3 linked regions of the Notamacropus eugenii genome follow. The protein of the gene in region 2 purifies or fractionates together with the protein of the main gene of each other region. This does not show direct contact. Links are inferred from orthologs where the notes say so. Each region holds a gene or a part of one and is shown on either strand. Other genes may lie near its edges. The genes, in order: PELI3, MAP3K7 and RIPK2.

Evidence for each region.
Region 1: the proteins of MAP3K7 (region 2) and PELI3 purify together in Homo sapiens (affinity purification with western blotting; 3 studies listed by BioGRID and IntAct, with this or other methods). This does not show direct contact. The link is inferred for Notamacropus eugenii from reciprocal best matches to the Homo sapiens genes MAP3K7 and PELI3.
Region 3: the proteins of MAP3K7 (region 2) and RIPK2 purify together in Homo sapiens (affinity purification with western blotting; 4 studies listed by BioGRID). This does not show direct contact. The link is inferred for Notamacropus eugenii from reciprocal best matches to the Homo sapiens genes MAP3K7 and RIPK2.

Annotation. Positions count from the first base shown.
Region 1 is NC_092873.1:19,029,576-19,037,424, forward strand, and holds the start of PELI3 (E3 ubiquitin-protein ligase pellino homolog 3), read left to right. Parts: upstream 1-4,813; 5' UTR 4,814-5,011; intron 5,012-5,336; exon of another isoform or gene 5,337-5,347; 5' UTR 5,348-5,412; intron 5,413-6,031; 5' UTR 6,032-6,032; coding exon 6,033-6,187; intron 6,188-7,411; coding exon 7,412-7,541; intron 7,542-7,694; coding exon 7,695-7,796; intron 7,797-7,849. UniProt on the Homo sapiens protein: E3 ubiquitin ligase catalyzing the covalent attachment of ubiquitin moieties onto substrate proteins. Involved in the TLR and IL-1 signaling pathways via interaction with the complex containing IRAK kinases and TRAF6.
Region 2 is NC_092873.1:164,561,806-164,568,750, forward strand, and holds the start of MAP3K7 (mitogen-activated protein kinase kinase kinase 7), read right to left. Parts: upstream 3,040-6,945; 5' UTR 2,860-3,039; coding exon 2,740-2,859; intron 1-2,739. UniProt on the Homo sapiens protein: Serine/threonine kinase which acts as an essential component of the MAP kinase signal transduction pathway. Plays an important role in the cascades of cellular responses evoked by changes in the environment.
Region 3 is NC_092875.1:164,404,451-164,412,288, reverse strand, and holds the start of RIPK2 (receptor-interacting serine/threonine-protein kinase 2), read left to right. Parts: upstream 1-4,829; 5' UTR 4,830-6,411; coding exon 6,412-6,590; intron 6,591-7,838.

The sequences.
Region 1 (7,849 bases), about 150 Mb from region 2:
CTAGTCTTTCTCTTCATACCTGCAAGGTACCCTGCTAGCTTAGGAATGAGTTTTCTCTGGAATCGTCCTCTCTCCTCTGGACTAACGGCTTCTTGAAGGCAAGGACCCAGTCATCCCCGCCCCCCCTCCCCAGTGCCTGCGTGGCCTGGGTGCACAGTAGGCACCCAGAAAGACTTTATGGAGCTGAGCACACAGTAGGCACCTGGAAAGGCCTTTGGGCCTGCAAAAAAAGCCCATTCAGAGGGAAGAGTGGGTACAATAGCAGAGAGAACAGAGGAGGCGGAAAGCAGGAATGAGCTGGGAACAGAGGATGGGGGAGGCAGAGAATGAGTGACAGCAGCCTTTGTGTCCATTGTGGGCTTGCCATCTGGGGACCCAGGGGCCCTGGAGCAGTGCCCAAACTAGCCACCTTCACTCCCAGGACAAAAGCAGGACACTGGGCCACTTACCTGCTGACCTGTGAGGGCAGGGTTTTGGGATTTGTTTTTGTTTTTTTTTTTTTACGCATTTTACATATTTTTCTCCATTGTTAAGCTCTGGGAACACCAGGCCTGCTCTTCTCTTGGTTCACTCTTGTCATTGCCCTGCCCTGAACTGACCCTGAAGGGTGGGCAGGAAGTAAAGGTGTTTTTTAGATGCTGCCCAAAGAGCTGGTCCTCTAAGGCTGATCACAGATATAAAGGAATCCATAGGCTTTCCTACTCTGAAGTCCTATGATGCCCCATACACAGAGGGGTGACTTCTCAGGGCCCTCCCAGGAAATTGTCATCTACTTCCCATGAATCTCCCTGATTGTGAAGGACACGATCCCATCAAGCCCCACAGCCCCAGTGGTGAACGCTCAGATCTGTCTACCTCTGGAAGTTTTTTGTTTTTGCCGTGAGGGTCTCTCTGGGCAGGTTAGAGGGTGGTTCCCATTAACTCCAGAATCATTAGGGTCCAGCTCTTAGAACTGGGGACCCCACACAGTGCCCTCTGTCTCTCCTCTCTCCCTCAGACTCCCGCCCAGCTTCCTTCCTTTCCTGGGTTCGTTCCTGCTATCCCTATAAGTCCCTGTTATAGAGCCCTCCTCACCAGAATCCTCATTCTGGGACATCAGAAGCAGCATTTTGTTGAGCATTATGGGAAAGAAAGTGCTAAAGTCATGCCCACTAGCTCCAGCTTATCCAGGCGCTCCAGAGGGTGCCAGGATTTAAGTACCAAAAGCATTCCTCACTTAACAGATGAGGAAACTGAGATGCAGAGGGGTTATATCAGCCTCACAGGGGCACACAGCCAGGAAGGTCCAGGACCAGAATGAAGACCGATGTTTTCAGGCTCCACATCTCATGTTCTTTCCTCCAGGGTTCATCAGCTCCCTGGCATCTTGGGAAATGGGGGCACCTTCCCCAGCAGAACAGCAGAGAACATGCTATTATTCAGTCAACAAGCTTTTTCTAAGTGTTTGCACTGTTCTGGGCATTGGGTTTCATGCTCCATTGTGGGGTCTGCATAACAGATGAAGTGATTTGTGATTTGTCAGGAAAAGGCTTCATCAGGAAAAAAGGACTTCAGTTTGAGAGATGGGTGTGTTTGGAAGAGTGTTGTGGGAGGGCACAGAAGGGTGGGTAGGTTTGGAATAGGAGAGGTAGAAGGGCATGGAAGGACAGGTAGATTTTGGATGGGGGAGGTGGAAGGGCTTTGGGGAGAACACTGGACGAATTAAAATGCAATTGTCATTCAATGTTTCATTCATTCATCTGACAGATATTTCAGCCCCTGCTCCACTCTTGAAGGTTGAGGGTGGTACAAGGATAAGGAAGATGTGATCTCTGGCCTTGAGGAGTTTACAAATTAGAGGATTTAAGTCATATACAAAGAGACTATCCATTAGCCCAGGGTTCTTAACCTGGGTCTGTAGATAGATTTCTTTTTAAAAAAAAAAAATTATATCTGTATTTCGATATATTGTGTTTCGTTTGTAATTCTATGTATTTTGTTTTACTTTATGTATTTAAAGACATTAACCTGAGAAAGGGTCAGCTTCAACAGATTGCATTTTACGGCACATAAAAGGTTAAGAAATTTTGTGTTTGACTGTGGTGAGTGGAAGTGAGCACTATAGAAGTGTAGGATGTGAGAGGAAGGGATCGCTTGTAGTTGGAGAATCAGGGCAAGTTTGCTCTGAACCTTGTGTGTTTGCTGGTAGGGATGTTGAAGGCAGGGTTTTGGGAGAGCTGGTTCAGGTTTGAAAGAATTCACTTAGACCTCTTTTAGCCAATGGGAGCTTTTAATTTTACATGAAAAAGCATCACAGGTCTCTTTAGCAAGAAAGCTAAGGGAGACCCCATATCTGGAGGAGCTAATGCTTTTATAGAGGTCTCAGAATGATGCTGTAGTTTTAGAGGTTTTTATGGACGTTAAAGATTAAAGATAGGACTGGATGACATAGGATGAAGGACACAGGGAATTCTTTATGGTTTAAGGATTTGGGGAGGGAGAGATACAGACTAAAAATTAAAGGACCTGGAGAACCCAGGATAAGGAAGACAAAGCAATTCTTTTGGTACAGGCTCAAGATAAGGGGGAAAGGACTTTAGGGAACCTTCAGGTTACAGAGTAAACTAGGGGCTTCATAAAGTCCTGGAAAAGCAGCTCAATGTTATTTTTAACCCTTCGGGCACTGTCTGTATTCTGCATCATTTCCTCACTCAACCACTAGGCAGGAGAAATCTTTCGGGAAAGGGACAAAGGTTATTGCCTTTTTCTGTCACTTTTCTGGCTGGTCACCTCCTGGTCTTATCTCCTATCTCACGTCTAGCTTGCTCCAAAGGCCCCAAGCATTCTTTTCTACCTCATCGGAGAGATTCACATGCCAAGTCCGATCTGTTCCTGCCTCTCTTACTGGTCCCCCAAAAGCTGTATCTTAACTAATTAGCCATTTGCCCTCTGGTTCAGCCACAGGAATGGTGAAAGATGCCTGATCTTTTCTACATGAAGTTAGATTCTCCGTGGATTCACTTTTTCCAGAGCTAAGGCAAGAGGCCAGAGTGAGATAGGAATAGTTGCATTGTTTGCAAAGTATGGTATCACCACTAGGGAGATGCTAACTCCTGGTCTGGCAGCATCGGAGGCTACATGTTAGGAGCCAAAGGTCACCGGAGGGTGTCCAGGGAAGCATCACCAAACTCTGGTCTAATGGGTACTATCTCTGTATAAACTCCTCCAGGTCCAGTATTATGTCTTCCCTATCCTTGTGCTGCCGAGGAGATCAGGCTACATGGGGATGGTGGCCAAGGCTTAAGAAGAAAATTCTTAAGGAGGAAACCTACCAACTGTGGTCAAGCGTCAGAAAGGCCATCCTGTGAAAGGGGGGTGGTGTGTTTATTCTACTTGCTCCCAGAGGACAGAACTGAGTGCAAAGGCTCTGGGTTCCAGAAAGGACGATACTTTCTTAGGCACTGGTGACATTTGAGGACGGCTGACCTCACTTTCAGCTCTGATTCTGTGACTCTGTGTGACCTAACTTAGGAATTTGTGACATGATACTGTGAGTTTGAGTTATCTGTGTCTTTGTCCCCTCACCCTCCCAGACTTTGAGTATCATGTCATCAGGGACCAGTTCAAGCTTCGCCCCTCCTCCATCCCAGCCCCCAGGCCCAGAGCCTACCACATAAATGTTCCTTGCCCTGGTTGCCATCTGTGAATTTACCTATGTTGTTCTCTCAGCTACATCAACATTTGCTGAGCCTGGCTTGGAGACCATTCACTTAACCACCTCAGTTTCCTCATATGCAAAATGCGGATATAATAGCACTTACCTTCCTGGGTTGTTGTGAGACTCAAAAAATAGGCATAAAACACTTTGTAAACCTTAAAACACCATAGAAGTGGTGGGCCTCGAGACCAGCTGTGGAGGGCCAGACAAGGATGGAATTCAGGAACCCTCAGTATGACTACCCTGAGATCAGAAGGAGGGACTTGACACTTCCAGGGAGGGTCCTGTTTCCTGTGTGGGCTGTAGACTGGGTTTTCAAAGATGCTTCTCAGTTTCCTCCCCAGGGTTTGGGGAGGAGTTTTATGTCCCCTCCTCTCTCCTAGTCAGAAACAGATGGACTTGGGAATCTCAGTGTCCTGGTTAAGAACTCAAGCCCTTCCATTTTACAGACAAGGAAACTGAGGCCCATCACATAATTTTCCCAAAGAAACATGGGGAGGAGCACGAGAGATAGGATTTGAATTTGGGTCCTCTAATTCCAGAGCCAGTGGGCCAGGGCAGGGCCAGGCATGAGACTCCACTCCTTGACAGCTGCTCTTTCTCTTTTCCAAGCACACCTGGCTTAGCCACCTTGGCTTTCCCCGATTCCTCCATAGGCTTCAGATCCTTGGGGCCACTTGACCTGTAAGACCAGAGAGCTGGAGGGAACGGTAGGGATAAGTTAGTCCACCTTGCCCATTTTATAGAGGGGAAGAGGGAGGCCCAGAGCCCTGAAGTTACTAGTTGGAGGTTACAGAAGGAGCAAGGGGTAGAGCCGGGATTCCAGCCCCCTGGTCCTCACGCAGGACCCTCTGACCCAGCCCCCGGGCTCCGCTGTCCCCTTGCTCCCCCTCCTCCTCCATCCTTCCCCCCATCACACACACGCACACACACAAGAACCGACAAGGGGGATGTAAGGGAAGGGGGTCCCCGAGCTGAGCCGGAGGAGGCGGGGAAGGAAGGAGGAGGGGCGGAGTCCCACCAGAAGGAGGCGGAGCCTCGGCCGAGGTGCGAAGTTTCGCCGCAGGAGGAGGAGCTCGAGGAGGCGGAGCCCCGGCCCAGGGGGGCGGGATCCGAGGAGGAGGCGGGGCTCTGGGTGGTGCGCGTCCCCCTCCCCTTCCTTGTCCTTCTCGCCCTCCCCCCGACTCTGGGTGTCCCCGTGACGAGCCAGCGCCGTGGTGCCGCCGGGCCGGCCCAGCCCAGCTCGGCCCGGAGCATCCCAGCCCGGTCCAGCCACTGCGGACCTGCCTGCGGCCAGGAGCGCCCCGGGGCTAGGTAAGGGGCCACCCCGGGGGGCGGCCAGAAAGGTGGGCGGGGCCTGGAGGCGGGATGGGGGGACCCTGGAGGGAGGGGGCGGCAGGGGTCCGGGAGTCCAGCGCCCCGCGGCTGTCTGGCAGGGCGCACGCTCTGCGCCCCGGGGCTCCCGTGGGGATCTGCGTAGGTGCTCGGCTCTCCCGCGGCTGCTCCTAGTCCCGCTCCCGAAGCTGCTGCTGTCGCCCCCCCGCGGCGGCTGCGCCTGCCCGTCTCGGGGTGCGCGGCTCGGGCCCCCCCTCCTCTCCCTCCCGCGCGCGTCCCCTGCGTGGCTGTGTTTCCCAAACAGGTTCCCTGCAGGAGGGCGAGTCTGCTGCAGCCTCAGCTCAGGGCGCACCGGGAGGGTCAGAGGAGGAGAGATGAGGGTGAGAGCGAGCCCCCGCCGCGTCCCCAAACACACCGGGACACACACGCAGATGGGCAGATGGGCTGGGGGACCACCACTGGCCCAGGGGAAGCGTAGCCTGCTGAGGGCGGGCAGAGGCAGAGATAAATGGGGAGACGAGGAGAGATACGGGGAGAGACCTGAGGAGCCCCGCAAGGCCGGGGGCAGAGACCGCCCGAAGTGCTCTGCCTAAGAGGGGGACCCCGAGGGCCGATGGGGCTGGGGGCTTCTTACTCCCCGGTGTCCAGAAAGGGGGAAAGCATCTTCTAAGGGGGAGGAATCTTGTCCAGGAGGAAGCCCAGATCCTCTGCTGTTGAGCCAGACTGGGACACATGTCTCTGGAGCCTCAGAGCTTCACTACCCCTGTCCAGGCATCCCCTTCCCTCTATCCCCCCTCCCCCATTACCATGGTAACTAGGCAGCTGGGGGAGGCAAAGGCGGCAGTGTTACCATGGTAATGGGGAAGGTGAAAGGTCCCCCATTCAGAAGAGGGGGAGGCCAGGGGACTGGGGCCCAGATTGGATCCAACTGTTTGGGGGAAGCTGGGTGGAGGGGGAAGTCTGAGCAGCTTTCTCTCTCTCTCCTTGGATCTCTGGTAGGATGGTGTTGGAAGGCAGCACTGACGTGGGGACCCCAGGATCCCTGGGCCTCCGGCAGACCAGCGCCAAAACCCCCCGAATCCTTCCTGCTCCTCCTTCGGACAGTTTGCTGTTGGGCAAGGAGCCTGTCAAATATGGGGAACTCATCGTGCTGGGGTGAGGGCCTGGAGCTAGAGGTCTGGGGTGGAGGGTTGGGCGATGAGGGGAGAGTGCCCAGGAAGACCTGAGGGAGCTCCACAGAGAACACACTGAAAAGCTAGAGCCAAGCTAGGAACTAATGTTAGAAAACATTCGAGGCAGAAAGGGAACTTGATTCATCCCCTTCACTTTACAGAGGGGTAAGCTGAGGTCCACAGAGAGGGAGTGCCGGGCCCAAAGTTGAGCACTTCTCAAGTGGAAAAGCAAAGACTAGAACCCATGCCTCCTAGCTCCCAGGCCAGTGTTCTTTCCTCTCCCCCATGCTGTGGCCTCTGTGTGTCTTTGGAACCTCCTGGCCCTTTCTTTGGACTCTGGGAGGCATTCCTGGGTCCTCTCTCCCAATTCAGTGCCATACAATGGAGCAAACAGTGCTCACTTTCCTGTTCTGTACAGAACCTTGTACTGGGCATGGGGAGAAAGGAAGTTGAGACAGGCACAGACCCTGTCTTCATGGAGCTTTTAGGCACAAAAACAGAGAAGTAGGAGACATGACACAGTATGATCAGAGAGGTGGAAGGAAGGTCTGTGCTGACAGGGGTGATCAGGGCCGGTTCACTGGAGGAGGAGGGGTTAGCGTTGGGCTTTGAAGTGAAGGAGGGAGGGAAGGGCCTTCCCCAGGAAGGGATGGCAGGCAGGCAGGGAACAGAGCATGTAGTTTGGAGAGCATGGAGGGACTTAGGATGAAACCGTGTTTAAAGGGGAGGGTGGGAAGTCGAATTGGAACTTTACTCAGTACACAGCAGATCTGGGTGTAACGAAGATTATTCTGGTAGTGGTCTGAAGGATGCACTGGGCAGGTGGGATGGCCAGGAGGCTGTCACAGGAAGCCAGGCTGGTAGCAAGCAAGCCTGAGCAGAGGCAGAGGGAATAATGTGGAGGACAATTGTGAAGGCTTTGATGGGAGGTAGCCTGAGGACCTACTAGAGCTGACTGGGAATGAGGAAGGAATGGGAAGAGACAACCATGATGCCCAATTCCAGAAGAGGAAAAGCGATTGGATGGTGGTACCCCAGACAGGAATCATGCCAGCAGGGCAAGCAGGAGCACAGGGGAAGAGTAGCCAAGTAGTTTCCAAGGCTCTCAACAGCTCAGTGAGTTATTTCAGGGTCTTCCCAGAAGGTAAGGTGAACCAGCAGTGTGCTGGACTGGAACAGCGCTCCCTGGGCCTTTCTTTCCCCACAGCTACAATGGGTCCCTGGCCAGCGGAGACAAGGGCCGCCGCCGCAGCCGCCTGGCGCTGAGCCGGAGACCCCAGGCCAATGGGGTGAAGCCTGACGTTGTCCACCATATCTCTACCCCACTCGTGTCCAAAGTAAGGGACAGCCCAGGCTTGACATCTCTCCTTGTCCCCTATCCCTTCTTTCCCGAGTTGTAACCTCTCCTTGTAGATCCTACCATGTTCCTAAGGATGCAAGCAAGACCATGGCTAGGGGCTGGATGAGTGATTGTCCCTTCTTCTCCCCAGGCACTGAGTAACCGGGGCCAGCACAGTATCTCCTACACACTCTCTCGGAGCCACTCGGTCATCGTGGAATACACCCACGACAATGACACAGACATGTTCCAGGTATGGCTCTCCCCCTTCCTCAGTCCTTCCTTCATTCCTCCTTCCCTTCCCTC
Region 2 (6,945 bases):
GAATTCCTACTCAATTATGAGTTGGAGTAGATGATCTCTTGTCTCTTCCAACTCCCAAGATTTTGTGAGGCTTTGTTCTGCATAGCTCCAACAACTTTTCCCACTTATGTGTTTTATTTCCTGAACCAGACCTCTTAATCAAGAGAAGCTATGTCTTATAATTCTAATATAGTCTTTTGCACACAAAGTAGGAATTGAATAACTCTTGTGAATTAGTCTATGAATTTCTCCCTTTTCTATGGAGGCCTAATCACAAATTCTGTGGTAAGGACAGAATAAAAGATTTAGAATCATAAGATCTGGGTGCAAATCCCAGCTCTGCTAACTTACATACTATAATTTTTACACAAACCTTGATCCATAGACACAGAAGTTCACTGGCATAAATTTTTAAAGGAAAAAATACAATTTTTATATATGACACAAATTTTGATCTCAAAATTTATCTCTCAATGACATAAAAAAAGACTGACTTTTATTTCAAAAAAGAAATTCCTTTCAAATAACAATGGAACCATACTATTTCTTCTTAAGGGTTCTCTGGGTTTTCATAATCAATATGAATTATAAAATATTTTTCTTATGTTTTATTCACAAAATAAGATTCTTTTCTTGTCTATATGACCTCATATAGTATAGTATCTCCACTAAGTTATTCACACACATATAAAATGGAGAAAAAAAATTCTTCCATATATAATAAAATATACTTTGTTATACTATCAGTAATTGCCATTATAGAATAAGTACTGTAAAGTTTAAAAGCTGAATATGTACTTTAAGGACTGGAAACATGTCAGCTTAAGATGTGGTTCTTTAAAATGCCTCTAATACAGGAGATCATATGATCATATATTTAGAGCTGTAAGTGGACTTTAAAGGCCATCTGGTTCAACACACTTATTCTCTAGATGAAGAAACTGAGGTTCAAGGAGGTTAATCGACTTGGCTTAAAACTAGAGAGGTAGAAAAAGGACTTGAAGCCTGGGTAGGACCTCTAACTTTAGAGTGAGTACTCTTAAAAGAGTACCCAATAAATGTGTAAAATATTCAAACTGTTTAGTTAACTGCTAATGTCAATTTCCTTAAAACTTTTCAGAAATTTGTCTTTTAATATTTTTTTATACACAATTTGTCGTTTTGGTCTGAACCAACAATTTCAGTACTTTGAGGAACTCCTGGCAAGGAAAAAAATTTTTAACCAATGCAGATAGGTAGGCAAAATGTGTACCTGATCTTACTTCTAAATAGCATTTATTTAACATATGTTATAATCTCAATCACACTTCTATCACCTAGATAGACAAAAACTAATGAATTAACTTTATTACACTCCAGAAGGAAAAAGTGAAGTAGAACTGTGATTAAGGAAGGATTCAGGTTTTCTAACAATAACTTACAATCAACTTTTTTTAAAATTCTAGATCAAATTTGGATTATGCGGCATCTCTGCATAACTTTGTGATGTTTATGGCACTCTATAGACTGCATAATATACCTGATCATTAATGTGAACCATGTATGAAAACCATCTTAATCTTTAATTTTAGCAATCCCATTTTATGTTTCCTTTACATATTCACATTCAAGAATCAGTTTGATTTAAGAGAACTAAACCTCACTCTACACAACTGATTCCTTTATGAAGTGTTGTCAACACAATTTTTATAAGATCAAAGAACCTAATTAGAGGGACTTTAGAATTTTGGTAGTTTGACCACTCTTAGTGTGCAGAGCAGGAAAGAGGCTCAGAAAGATGAAATCACTTTGCAGTCAAATAATATGTAAGCATTATAAATGTAGAGAGCTAATTTAAAAGTTTACTTTCTAACAAAATGTAGTTAAAAACCCCAACTCCCAATCTCTTTTCCCCTAACTCGAAGTTTTCTATCAAAAGCATCACCATTCTGCTAGTAACCTCATTCATTTTTTATTCTTTCTTTTCGAAGGAAACCAACAACCCGAACCGCGTTGACTCTACCTCTGCATTATCCCCTATCATTTGTCTCCTCAGTTCATAGCGCAACCCTCTTTGCTCAGGCTTTCCCTTTTTCAGTAATTCATGAAATAAGTAATTCATAAAATATTAAAAATACTAAAATTTATGAATTTAGTAATTCATAAAATAATTAAATGAAATGAGCTTTAAAGCTCACCCTTCCATCTCGAAAACCTAGCATCCTAACTAACAGCTGACTTCCAGCCTATCCTCTCAAATTTGGAGTCAAAGGAGAGTCTGGTGCAAACTCCGGCCAGCACCGCTACTTCACTACCAGTATGACTCTGGAAAAGTCACCGAACCTTCCTCTGGGCCTCAGTTTCTGCGTCTGTAAAGTGAAAAGGTAGGACTAGATAATCTCAAGGTCCCTTTCAGCTCGAAAGCATAGGACCTAACTGGTCACCACTGCTTTGTGGATACAGCACTAAGCTTTAACTGGATCTGTATTAGAATTGGGGCTGGGGGAGCAGCGGAATGGGGAACTGTCCCACCACGTTCCTCGAGAGTATTGTTGACAAAGAGGGAAACTAAGTCTTGTTCTGGAAAGCCTGTTACGGAGCCTGCTATTCCCGGCATCTCGACGTAAAGCAATGAAGTACTGTGGCCAAACTTCTGCAGCGAACGGAAAAGGGCAGGCTCTCCCACCCCGCACCTCCCCGGCCCCTCTGCGGCAGCTCCAGCCTCAGGCCCACGAAGGCTCGTCTAGGGCGGGCAGGAAGGGACAAAGGCTCGGCACCCACCTCTTCCACCTCGATCTCCTTGTAGTCGATCTCTTCGAAGTGGAGGACCTGCGAGGGGGTCTCGATCATGTCACCCGCCGAAGAGGAGGAGGAGGAGGAGGCAGCTGAGGCAGTAGACATGATCCCTCTCGGCAGCCGGGGAGAGGCCGCCCCGACAGTCCGGAGGGCTGCGTCCTCCGTCGTCCGGACCGACCTTCAGCCCGGACACCGACAGTCCGGGGACCCGGGGGCCCGGGGAGCCGTGGTGGGGATAGCGGCCGAGGCCGTGTCCCGGCTCGGGCTCGACTGCCCTTTCCGGTCGGGGAGGGGAGGACCCGCCTCCTAATCTTCCGGTTCCGCTCGGAAACCGGAAGAAGGGACAGCCGCGGGTCTGCAGGACTTTGCCCTGCGGTCCCGGCGCGCTGTATCCTGGGAGCAATAAAAGAAGACTAAGGAGCGGAGGGAGCCGGGCCTTCTAGCCTGCACCTCCCGAGAGCGCCGTAGCGGGGGTGGGTGCAGACCCTCCTCTCTAGGAGGGAGATCCCGCGAGATCTGGGTGCCAATCAGAACCTAAAGCGCGAACGTCTGCTTTGCTCTTGACTGGCACCTCTGCGGAGAAGCGATCGGGACGCGTTTACTCGGGTGAAGCGGGAAAGCCTGCCTTGGTTCGGGAACCCGACTATCCCGAGTGGAAGTGACCACCGCTCTATTTCTCTCCCTAGTTTGGGAAGAAAATTCTGAGCCCCGCCCCTTGAGCACCCTGTGTGGGTAGGGGGCAGCGGCGAGGGAAGGAAGCCGAGGTCGGGGAGAGAGGGATCTTCCCTCCGCGCTGCGTGGAACTGCGGGACTCCTCCCCGTAAACTTCGTGTCCCGCCCTGACCTTCCACCGTAACTGGAGCTGCGGCTCCTGGGAGCCCGGAATGCGTTTCCTCCGTTTAATGACCTGTGACAGAAGTTAAACCGGCTGGCAATATTTATTGACCATCTGCCCGGTGGCAGTGAGCCTATGCCAGGGCTTCTGTGCCCAGGGAGTCAATAATGGGAGTAGTGCCGGGGGGCTTCAGGCTCCGTCACTGCCAGCTAGAATACTCCCCAAGTCTTAACCATACTGAGTGATTCTGTCCCGAGAGAACCCAGGTGTTCAGTCATTTCCGACCCCATTTGGGGTTTTCTTGGCAGGGGTACTGGAGTGGCTTGCCATTTTCTTCTGCTCATTTTACAGATGGGGAAGCCGTGGCAAAGAAGGTTTAGGTGACTTGCCCAGGGTCACACAGTTGGTAAGCGTCTGAGGATGCATATTTGAACTCAGGTCCTGACTGCAGTCCTGGTGCTCTGTCCCACTGCACTACCTAGCTGCCCTGTAGAGAAGAAAACCAGAGTTCAGATCTAACCTCAAACTCAACTGTAGACCATAGATTTAACCTGTTTGCCCCAGTTTTCTCATGTGTAAGATGGAGATAATAATAGCACCTACCTCGCAGGGTTGTATTGAGGATCAAATGAGAATAATTGGAAAGCACTCGGCACTTAGGAAGCTATATATAAATCTCGTTTATTACTAGGCTTACTAGGTGTCAGGCATTGTGCTAAGAGCTGGGGATACAAAGTAAACAAAAATTCCCTGCCCTAGAGCTTACTTTCTAATAAGGAGACATGTCAATCAAAAGGTACACACAACACAAATCAGCATTAAATTGGAGGGTAAAAGAAGAGAAAGATCTGGCAGCCAAGACCGCCAGGAATGATCGGAAGGGGCAATTAAATTGATACTTGAAAGAAGCTGGACATTCTAAGAGGCAAAGGTGTGGAGGGCCTTCAGATATAAAGCGCAGATATGAAGAACAGCCAGTAGGCTGGTATAGTAGGATTTAAAATGTGGAGGAGGTTAGACAGATTGGAAGAGTAGGAAAGGAACCAGGTTGTGAAAAGCTTTAGCTGCCCCCCCCCAACACCGCTCCCCCTCCCACTCCCAAAAAGGACTTTATATTTAATCTTGGAGCTAATAGAAAGCCCCTAGAATTTATTGAGGGGGAGTGACATGACAGACTTTTACTTTAGGAAGATCATTTTGGCAAATGAGTGGAGTATGAATTTGGGTGGTAAGAAATAAGACAGGTAGAGGGAGACTAATAAGGAGGTTATAATAATAATACAGGCAGGTGATGACAGCTTAGACTAGGGTGGTGGCTATATGTGAATGAAGAGCAGGAGATACACAGGAGAGATGTATGGCAAAAACCAAGATTTGGTAACATTAAATAGGTGAGTGAGTGTGGAGTAAAGGATGACACTAAGGTTATGAATCTGGCATACTGGGTGAAGTATGGGGGTAAAGATAATGAATTCTGGTTTGGATATGTGGAGTTCAAGATGCCTTTGGGACATCAGTAAAGAAGTCACAGATTGTTCTCTGCGCCGTACAAATTAGAGGATCTTAATTCCTTTGCATATTTGCTGGGAAAGCAATTGAGATCTGACCTACTTCCCCAGGCATAATCAAACCCTTGCCTTACTGTCCTATATATGAGGCAGGTACAACAAGTAGTTATTTCCTTAAATTTCACAATTAAGAAAACTGGGGCACAGAGAGGCTTAAATAACTTGCCCAGGGTCACACAGCCTGCAAATATCTGCGTTAGAACTGGAAATAGCTTTGGGTACTGGAAAGAGTTTTGGATTTTGTGTCAGATGATTTGGGTTTAAATGTAAACTGTGACATTTCTCATGTAACCTTGGACAAGTCACTTAACTTCTGTTTCAGGTTCATCCTATGTAAAAGGAAGTTTAAAGAGTTGGACTAGATACTGTCTTGGGTTCCTGCTAAGATCTAAAATCACAAAAATTTGAATACTTGGTATATTACGATGTTTAATCTGATACATTTGATCATACTGTATAACATTGGTATACTAGGTGCTTTCATAACACATTTAGCTAAGGCAGTCCTTGGACAAACACAGACCTTACTCAATTCTTATTCAAAGCCTTCCCATTTTGATAGGATCAGCTAGGGGCTTGTGTTATACTTGTTTAGTCCTTAGAAAATATAGGGTCACTATACTTGGGCAAAGGAACTGAATATTGATGTTATTGTAGTTAGTTTTCACACGGGAAGTGGTTGTACTGATCCAGAAACCTTTGTCCAACCAGTTTCTGATCACTGATGATCTTAGACATGGGGGTAGAATTTGGTTTCAACATGTTTCTTCTTGTTATTGGTGGTGGTTTTCCTGGTTCTGAGGATGTAAAGCTTAAGTGTGAAGAGATCTCAAATATAACCAGTCCAGCATTGGACAAGTATTTTCTTTCTGACTCTTGAGTGAGAATCATAGTTGAACCAGGCAGATACTGTGTTGCATTAGCTTTCATTCTTGGAGTTAACCGCATTGCCAAAAAAACTTGTATTAAAGAAACAGGTTCTGATGATGAAGATGAGGCAAATGATCAAACCTTTACGTACTATGCCAGTGATGGATTCTATGGACCATTTAATTGCATCCTGTTTGATGTTAAACCTATTCTACAGAAGAGACCCAAACTAGATGAGAAGTATTACTCTTCTAGCATATGGGGACCAACATGTGATGGCCTTGATCGAATTGCTGAATGTGGCAATTTACCAGAAATGCATGTAGGAGACTAGATGCTGTTTGAAAACATGGGCTCCTATACTGTCGATGCTGCTTAAATGGATTCCAGTGATGCACTATCTGTTATCTGATATCTGGGACAGCATGGCAATACATACAATGAAGGAAGAACCAAGGTTTCTTTTTTTCTTTTTTAAAAAAATTTATTTGTTTTCAGTTTTCTACAATCACCACATCTTAGATTTCCTCCCCTCTCCCTCCCCAAGACGGCATGCAATACACATACATTCCTATTAAATACATTTTCACATTGGTGATGTTCCATAGAAGAATTAAAATGAATGGGAGGGCAGCTAGGTGGTGCAGTGGATAGAGCACCAGTGCAGGAGTCAGGAGGACCTGAGTTCAAATCTTACCTCAGATACTTGACACTCACTAGCTGTGTGACCTTGGGCAAGTCACTTACCCCAACTACCTCATCCTGGGTCTCCAGTCATCCTGATGAATATCTGGTCACTGGATTCAGATGGCTCTGGAGGAAAAGTGAGGCTGGTGACGTACACAGCCCTCTCTCACTCAAAACAAAGTCAAGTGCAAGTCATGTCATTATTTCTCTGATGGCATGGTCTTCTTCAGT
Region 3 (7,838 bases), on a different chromosome or scaffold from region 2:
AGTCCCTTTCCTCCTTAAAGATGCTTCCTTCTTAGAATAACTACCTCTCTCTATCTGCATGTCTAGTGTGTATAGAACCACTTCAAAGTGATATGATTAATGGGGGTTATGGAAGGGAGGGGTGAAAGGAAGGCAGAGGAGGAGGTGAAGAGATGTTCCCTCCTCCAGACCTCCTGGACTATGTCTGTCTGTCTCTCATTCTCTTGGAGGGATGGATGTAGGGATGGATGGATGGATGGAGAGAGAGAGAGAGAGAGAGAGAGAGAGAGAGAGAGAGAGAGAGAGAGAGAGAGAGAGAGAGAGAGAGAGGGAGAATCCCTTTACAGAAAGAATGCCTTTAGAAATATTTACACCATATAAATCATCTCCATTTCTTTAGGGTGTTTAATTATGATAAGGAATCAACGGCTCTATCTTGAATGACCTACCTCAATCTCTACATGGCATTTTGTTAACAATATGACTACATCTATGTTGCTATACAATATTACATAATCCATTGCAGGAAAAACAGTGTGGTTATTCATGTCCTATTATCCCAATAAGCATTATGCATCATCTGCTGTCATTATTCAGCACCCTATCGTGATTCACCACAACAAATCCTCCAGACTTTCTAGAGGACACACCTTCCCCAATCATATCAGACACACTTTTGACCCACATAATATGAGCCACAATTTTACGCTCCCCTCCAAGTTGGAACTTGCATAGATGTTGCTACAGAGAACTTGTCATGTGAAGCACAGGTTTCATACTGATTTGAGCTCTACATCCCTAATTTTTATTGGCACAAAACCATGCATAATTTTAAAGAGAGATTAATACAGGTTATAGCCTGACTTCTTAAAGGAAAAATTATTTAGTTTAATTTCAGGTACTCAATAAATATTGGCTGAATTGAAGGGACCAGTGGAATATGAACCAGCATAATGGCCTGGAGTAGCTTACTGTAGGGCTCTTGTCCTGTCTAATGTTATCAAACAGGAAGCATGCTCAATCCTCATTCTCCTTGACATCTCTGCAGCATTTGATACTGTTGACCGTCACCTGGCTAGCTCTCCTCTCCAGGTTTTCAGGACAATTTCTTGCTTCTCTTCCTAACTGACTGCTCCTTCTCAGTATCCTTTATTGGATATTAGCCACAACACAGCCTCCAACTGTAAGTACACCACAAAGCTCTATCCAATATTCTTTTCTCTTCTCTCATTTCATCACCGTTTCCAAAGATAGTAGACAGAAAAGTTCTGTCCCAGAATCACAGACTTCCACGCTCCCCAGGACATGCCTCTAGCTACAGTATGCTGCCTGCTCTTCCCCTGACATGGTCTGACCTGAGCAAAGTACAGCATGACCATACACCTCCTTATTATTCTTAGAAACTATATTGCTCTTAATGCAGTCCAAGATCATACTAGATTTTCTAGCTGTCACATTACATTATTACTGATATTTAGTCTATGGTCCACCAAAACCTCCACAACACAGATATTTTAACAGAGAGCAAACAGATCTATATGAGAAACCAAACTTCTGTTAGTTCAGTTTCTTTTTAAGATATACACAAGTATACATATAATATATAATTTAATAAGATAGCAAAACTCCTGTTTATGGCCCCTTCTGCCTTTTTTCCTTCTTCAAACTACTTCCTAAATATGCTTTCACAATCTTATATTTGTGAATTTGATTTTTTTAATTCTAGTGCAATACTTTATTTCTAGTAAATTTCATTTTGTGAAATTTGACCCCAAATTCTAGCCTTCTAAGATCTTTTTAGATTCTTTCTCTGTTATTCATTGTGTTAAGAATTCTTTCCAGTTCTATGATATGTGTAAATTCAATAAGCATGTCATCTATAGTTAATCTGAGTTAATGACAAAAAATGTTAAACAGTACAAAGCTAAGCTCAGATCCCTTGGTACTCCACAGGAGACTTCCTTCCAAATTAACAATAAACCTTTAATGACAGGCCATTTAACCAGCTATAAATCCATAGAATTATACTGTTGTCTATCTCATTATCTTGCCGTCTTTTCTACAAGAATAATATGAGTCAAGCTAAATGAAAGCTAAGAACACTAACACAAAATTAGATAACATTAAAAGAGGCATTACTTCTAGCCCAAGGAGGTAGAACTCTGATCTGGTAAGACCATATTGGGAGTATTGTGATCATTTGGGGGCACATTTTAAGAAGAATATGGATAAATTAAGAATATTCAAAAGAGGAAACCAGTATGGTAAAGGGCTTTAATTTTCTGACATATGAAAATCAGTTGAGAGACCTGAGATGTTTAATTTAGAGAAGAAAAGACGCAGGAGGGTCATGACAGGTGTCAAGAACTTGAAAGGTTATCAAGAAAGATTTTTTAAAAATTATTTTTCAGTGATACAGGGTAGAAAGGAAATAGATTTTTGTTCATTGAAAAAATAAAATTTAATAAAAAAGAAAAAAGACTTTCACGTAGAAAAGGAATTCAATGTGTTTTATTTGATCACAAAGAGCAGAACTAGTAGTAAGGGTTGGAATTTTCAAAGAGGCAAATTAAGGCATGACTTCAAGAAGAAACTTCCTTACTATTGGATCAATTTAAAAGATTAATGGAGAAGTAGATAGAGCTCCAGGTGGGAAATCTGGATGATTCATGTTCAAATCTGACCTCAGATACTTATGACCTGTGTGACCCCAGGAAAGTCACTTCACCTCTGTTTACCTCAGTTTCCTCATCTGTAAAATGGGGATAATAATAACACCTACCTCCCAGAGTTGTTGTGAGGATTAAATAAGACAAAAATTGCAAAGCACTTACTAAGGTGCCTGGCACATAGTAACTCCTATATAAATGTTAGCTCTCATTTTTTTTTTAATTTTAAAAGTGAAACAGATTGACTTGAAAAGTAATGGATTTTCTCCTCACAGGTAGTTCTTAGACAAAAGCTGAGTAGCCATTTATTGGGCAAAACGTAGGAGGCATTCTTTTAAAGGTTTGGACTGGACTAGATGTTTGGTGAAATTCCTTCAAACTCTGAGATTCTATATTAAATTTTATTAGATCTACAGTGAGAATTTTAGCAGCATATTAGATGATTAGTAGTCAAATCCTTCAGCAATCAGCAGAACACAATATACAAATATTTTGTCTTTGTTTTTGTCTTAACTCATGAGTTCATCAATGTAGAGAACTCTCAGCATGCAAAATCCATCTGTAAATACAAATCATGTATATATTTTAATCTTTGAGAATTTCCCGGGGCATCAAAGGTTAGTTTAAGTTACTTGTCTATAGTTACATAACAGATATGTGTCAGAGACAAGATTTAAATCCAAATCTTCTTAACTTCAAGGTCTCTATCCTTCCTGAGGCCATTAAGGACTAGACCATCACATTCTGCCTCTACCCTTAAGATTTCAAAAATAATACAGTAAACACTGAGCGACATCATGACCAATTAGAATTTAGGCTCGTTGAAGGCAAGAACTATATTTCTTTCTTTCATTCTTTGTATCCCCAGGACTTAGCACAGTGCCTAGAACATAACAAGATGAACAAATGCTTGATGCTAGACTTGTTGACATGGCCAAAGTACTGGAGCTAATTAATTAGATGTCTGAACTTCAAGGTAGTCTGAAGCATGTTCCTAAGAGCTCAAGAAGACCATCCTGGATTTCTCTATTCCTGTGGTCTATAAGCTTTCTGTGCATAGAGGCTCCCTGGCCACATGCCACCCTGTGTCCCCCTCCAAGCCTGTCTGCCTTTGTAGGACATGGAGATATTAATTCTGTAAGATGAAGGCTGTGTCCTGGATCTGGTGTAAAGTGAGGCACCTTAGATTTTCCTTTAGGGGCCTTCTCTTAAATATTTCAAATAAATAGGCTATTGTTTAGAGTTTTGCAAAAATAAAGATGAATTTGGGTAGACCTGAAAAGGTTTAGAAGTCCAATTACAGCTCATTTCCATAAATCCTACCTACTCGAGGAGTACATGGTGATCTAGGAAAATTAAATTACAGGCTGGGGTCATAAGTAGAATTCTTTTAGATCACCATCAGCAGTGGGATATCAAGTGTGTGATAAAGCACCATCTATCAAACTATTTCTCTAAAGCAAAGCTATCAGACTGGAAGTCTATAGGCCACAAGAGGCCTAGCTGAATGCCCATTTAAGCAAATCAAAATGCAATTGAGAAATGTTTTACAAAATTAAAAAAAAAAAATACAATCCAACACAGGTAATGTTAATTTGCCTTTTTCTAAGTCAATATATGATCCTCTCTTTTTTGAGTTTGGCACGGCTGCTCTAAAGGAAAACATTTTAAAGTAGAAGAGAAGTTTAAGATTTTTGTTATAATTTTATACTTGATGAAACCAATAATGGCTACTCAACCTTCAAGTAACAGTAGTAATATGAGGATGCCTACAGCAGACAGATATTCCACATCTACAAGTCTATTGTTTAGATGATTACCTCTGCTGTTGCTGCCACATTCATCCCACAGTGGGCTCAATAGCACCTGACGATTTTGTGCATGTCATTTTACTTCTCTGGACTATGGTTTCCCCATCAGCAAAACTGGAAATCTCACATAAAGCCTCTCTCTTCTCCCTAACTACCCCAATTCCTTCCATAAAAGAGGGACAAGTAACTCATTGCCAAAGCTTGGTTTGATAGAAATACAAGATTTGAGATCTGAGTTTCCTTCTAAAGAGACAAAGTTACAAAATCCTCATCAAAGGAATGTGGGCAAATGAGAAAAAAAACAAAACAATGAGAAATTTAGTCCATCTTTTCTGTAAAAAAAAAAAAAAAATTAACTGGTCAGATTTTTTTTTTTTCCCTCAAAGGGAGGTTGCCTGGTGTAATGATTCAGGTACCCAATTTTTTCAAAGCCAAAAGACCAGAATTCAAATCCCTGACATTTATTGACACTCTGTGACCTTGGATAAGTCACTTTAACTCTCTGGGACTCAGTTTCCTCACCTCCAAGTGAAGTTGGATTATACAACCTCAGAAATCCTTTCCAGTTCTAAATCTAGACACCTACAAAAGCTGGAGCCCTGAGCAAATTCAGAGAAATGTCTTCCTTCCTTCCTTCTTTTCCATTTATCCTACTTTTATATGCTGATAGGGGAATAAAGATGAAGAGAAGGAAGAAAAGATTCGAGGGGAAGAATTAAAAGAGTAAAATGTCTTTATAATATATTATGATAGGTTTCTTTCCCTGCAGCTCCTATATCGATGGAGCAATGGGAAAGACAGTGTAGGACAAGCAATACCTGATTTCTGGGACTGGGACTTTATTATTCTCCAACACGTGGCGCCCTCCAAAAAGGTCAGAATTTATTATTTTATAAACCCTTCCAAAAACAACGTTTTCCAGTGTTTCTCACCAAGGTCTTCCATCCAGTTCAGCTGGCACTTTCTCCCCTAGCCGCCCCACCAATTCCCCCACCTCAGACTTGGCTCTCCAGTTTGGCAATTTCCGAGTTGTACGTGCAGTCTGGAATGAGAATGGAAGATCCCGCTGACCAAGCGGAAAAGAACCGGCCGGGCACACTTAGGGGTTTTCCCAAAAAGAAAGTGTGGCTTTTCCTGAAGCCAAGGGAGAGTAGAAGGAAAAAACAAAAAAAACAAAAGAGGAGTTTCCTGATCGATCGCCTCGCTTCTTTAAAACTCTAGAGCGAAACTTTTCCCCCACAGCCCATACAACGTGCGCAGCATCCCCACAGTCCTTTCAGAGGAGGAGGCGTCTTCCCAGGGTGGAGACCTGGAGGCTGGCTTCTTACGCTGAGAGGGCTGGCACGGAGCCTGAGATCTCGGAGGCACAGGGGGTGAGGGACTGAATCGGGTGATCCCGGCGCGGGAGGAGCCGGGAGGGGAAGGAAGAGGAGTGTGCGCTGAGCGGCCAGTGCCAGGATCCAAGGCTGGAGACGCTTTTAAGCTGCTGACGTAGCCTGGCAAGCTTGGGAAGGGAGGAGCAGCCGGAGCCGGACCCACACAGAGTTCGGGAGAATTCTTCAGTTTCCTCCAAGGCTGGGGGAGTAGGTCTCGGGTGGAGAGAAGCAGCACCCATTGAGACCGGAGCAGCTTCGGCGGGACTTTGCCCTCGCTTTCTGGGGAGCACCTTCGGGGCTGTGGGCGGCTCGAAGCACTGCAGAGGCTGTTTGGATTGCAGCCGGGGAGGGTTAGCGGAGTCGGGGAAAAGGGACTTTACTTTCTCAGGGTGCTAAAGGGGAGGGAGCCAGTCTCAGACCGCTGCCCTCCGGGGGGAGGGGAGAAGCACCAATGCCCGCGCTCCCGCAGCGGGAGGTGGGAGCGTAGTAGCGCTGCCAAAGCGGAACCGTCCCTCCAGAAACACCGGACTTTCGCTGGAAGAGTTGGGGCTGTCTCCTCCCGGTCTGGCTAGGAGGATGAACGGGGACAGCCTAGCCATCTCCAGCTCCTTGCCCACCATCCCTTACTACAAGCTCGCCGATCTGCACTTCCTGAGCCGGGGGGCATCAGGCACCGTGTACTCGGCTCGCCACTCCGACTGGCGCGTCCAGGTGGCAGTGAAGCAACTGCATTTCCAGTCCCCATTGCAGGAAAGGTAATGACCCTCACCATCGCGGCCCTTCCTCGGGGGCCACAGGTCTCCGCCACCTAAAGGTGCACTCCCACCACTCCGATCCTTCCCTATACCCTCTGTGGCTCGTGGATGTGGTCAGGTAACAGGCGCGCGCGCACATGCTCTCCTATGCAGGTGAGCGCCTCCCTGCTCCGCCGGGCACCTCCTCCTGAATCGGGCTGCCGTGTGATTTACAGGAGAAGCAGGTGGGAGAGGGGAGTGGGGAAAATCCAGCTCTTTTGTCCCTTTTCTTAGACCAGAATCAGATTTCAGCCCGTCTCCTAAATCCCAAACCCCACATCATTGCCACGCCATCCCTAAATGCACCTCCCTTTGCTTTGCTTTGGTTTTGTGTTTGGCCTTTATGGATATGCCATTTAAAATATATATAATTGTAAAGGTACAGTAAGGTTTTTGTTTTGTTTTTGATGGTTGTGCCTCTTGTTGATTGACTTTAAGAAATTTTAAATACCATAGCACATTAGACTTGAGTTATTCCTCCTAGTCCACTCTGGAATTGAAGTCACTGGAGGCTGGAGAACCTACCTCTCATTCTTATTGTATGTGGTAACTGGTGGGAGACTGTCTCTAATGGCCACTGGTCGATTTAAGGGAAATGGTTAAAGTTTGAGGAAACTCTCCTTTCGATTTCAGTTCCAGAAATATTAGCAACACAAGCCTTCAATTCTGTTTGTGCCAACTCTAGACATAGATGCTAGTCTGTGTGTACACTGTTCTTTCCTTTGTAACTTCACTGTACCCTACAGTCACTTTGCAGTGGTCTCACTTTCATGACCTAAACACTTTCTTCTCCCACAGAATCATAGAAGCCTAAACTTATAAGAGACATAAGCAAGTCAGCCTCTTAATTTTACAAGAGTAAAAAGGAGGATCCAGGGAAGTTAAGTGATTTGCCCAAGGTCTGATGGTGGCAGAAAACTCAGGGTTTTTATTTGTTTGTTTTACCTTCAAGGTTAAGGGACCTTTCTGCTACAAATGTATGTAGATTTGTAATATTAAACTACAGCCTAGTGAAAGACGTAGTATGTGTTTTCTTTCTAAATCCTCTTTTAAAATATTGCTCAGTCTCCGCCAGGTTCTACCTCTCAGGGCTGTCAAGATCCCCTCCCCTTGTTGCACTCCCCAACCCCCATTCCCACCTTATCTTCAACTATTAACATCTAAAAATGGGAAGTAGCCAGCTATTAAGGCTTCAGTAGCCCTCTTAGG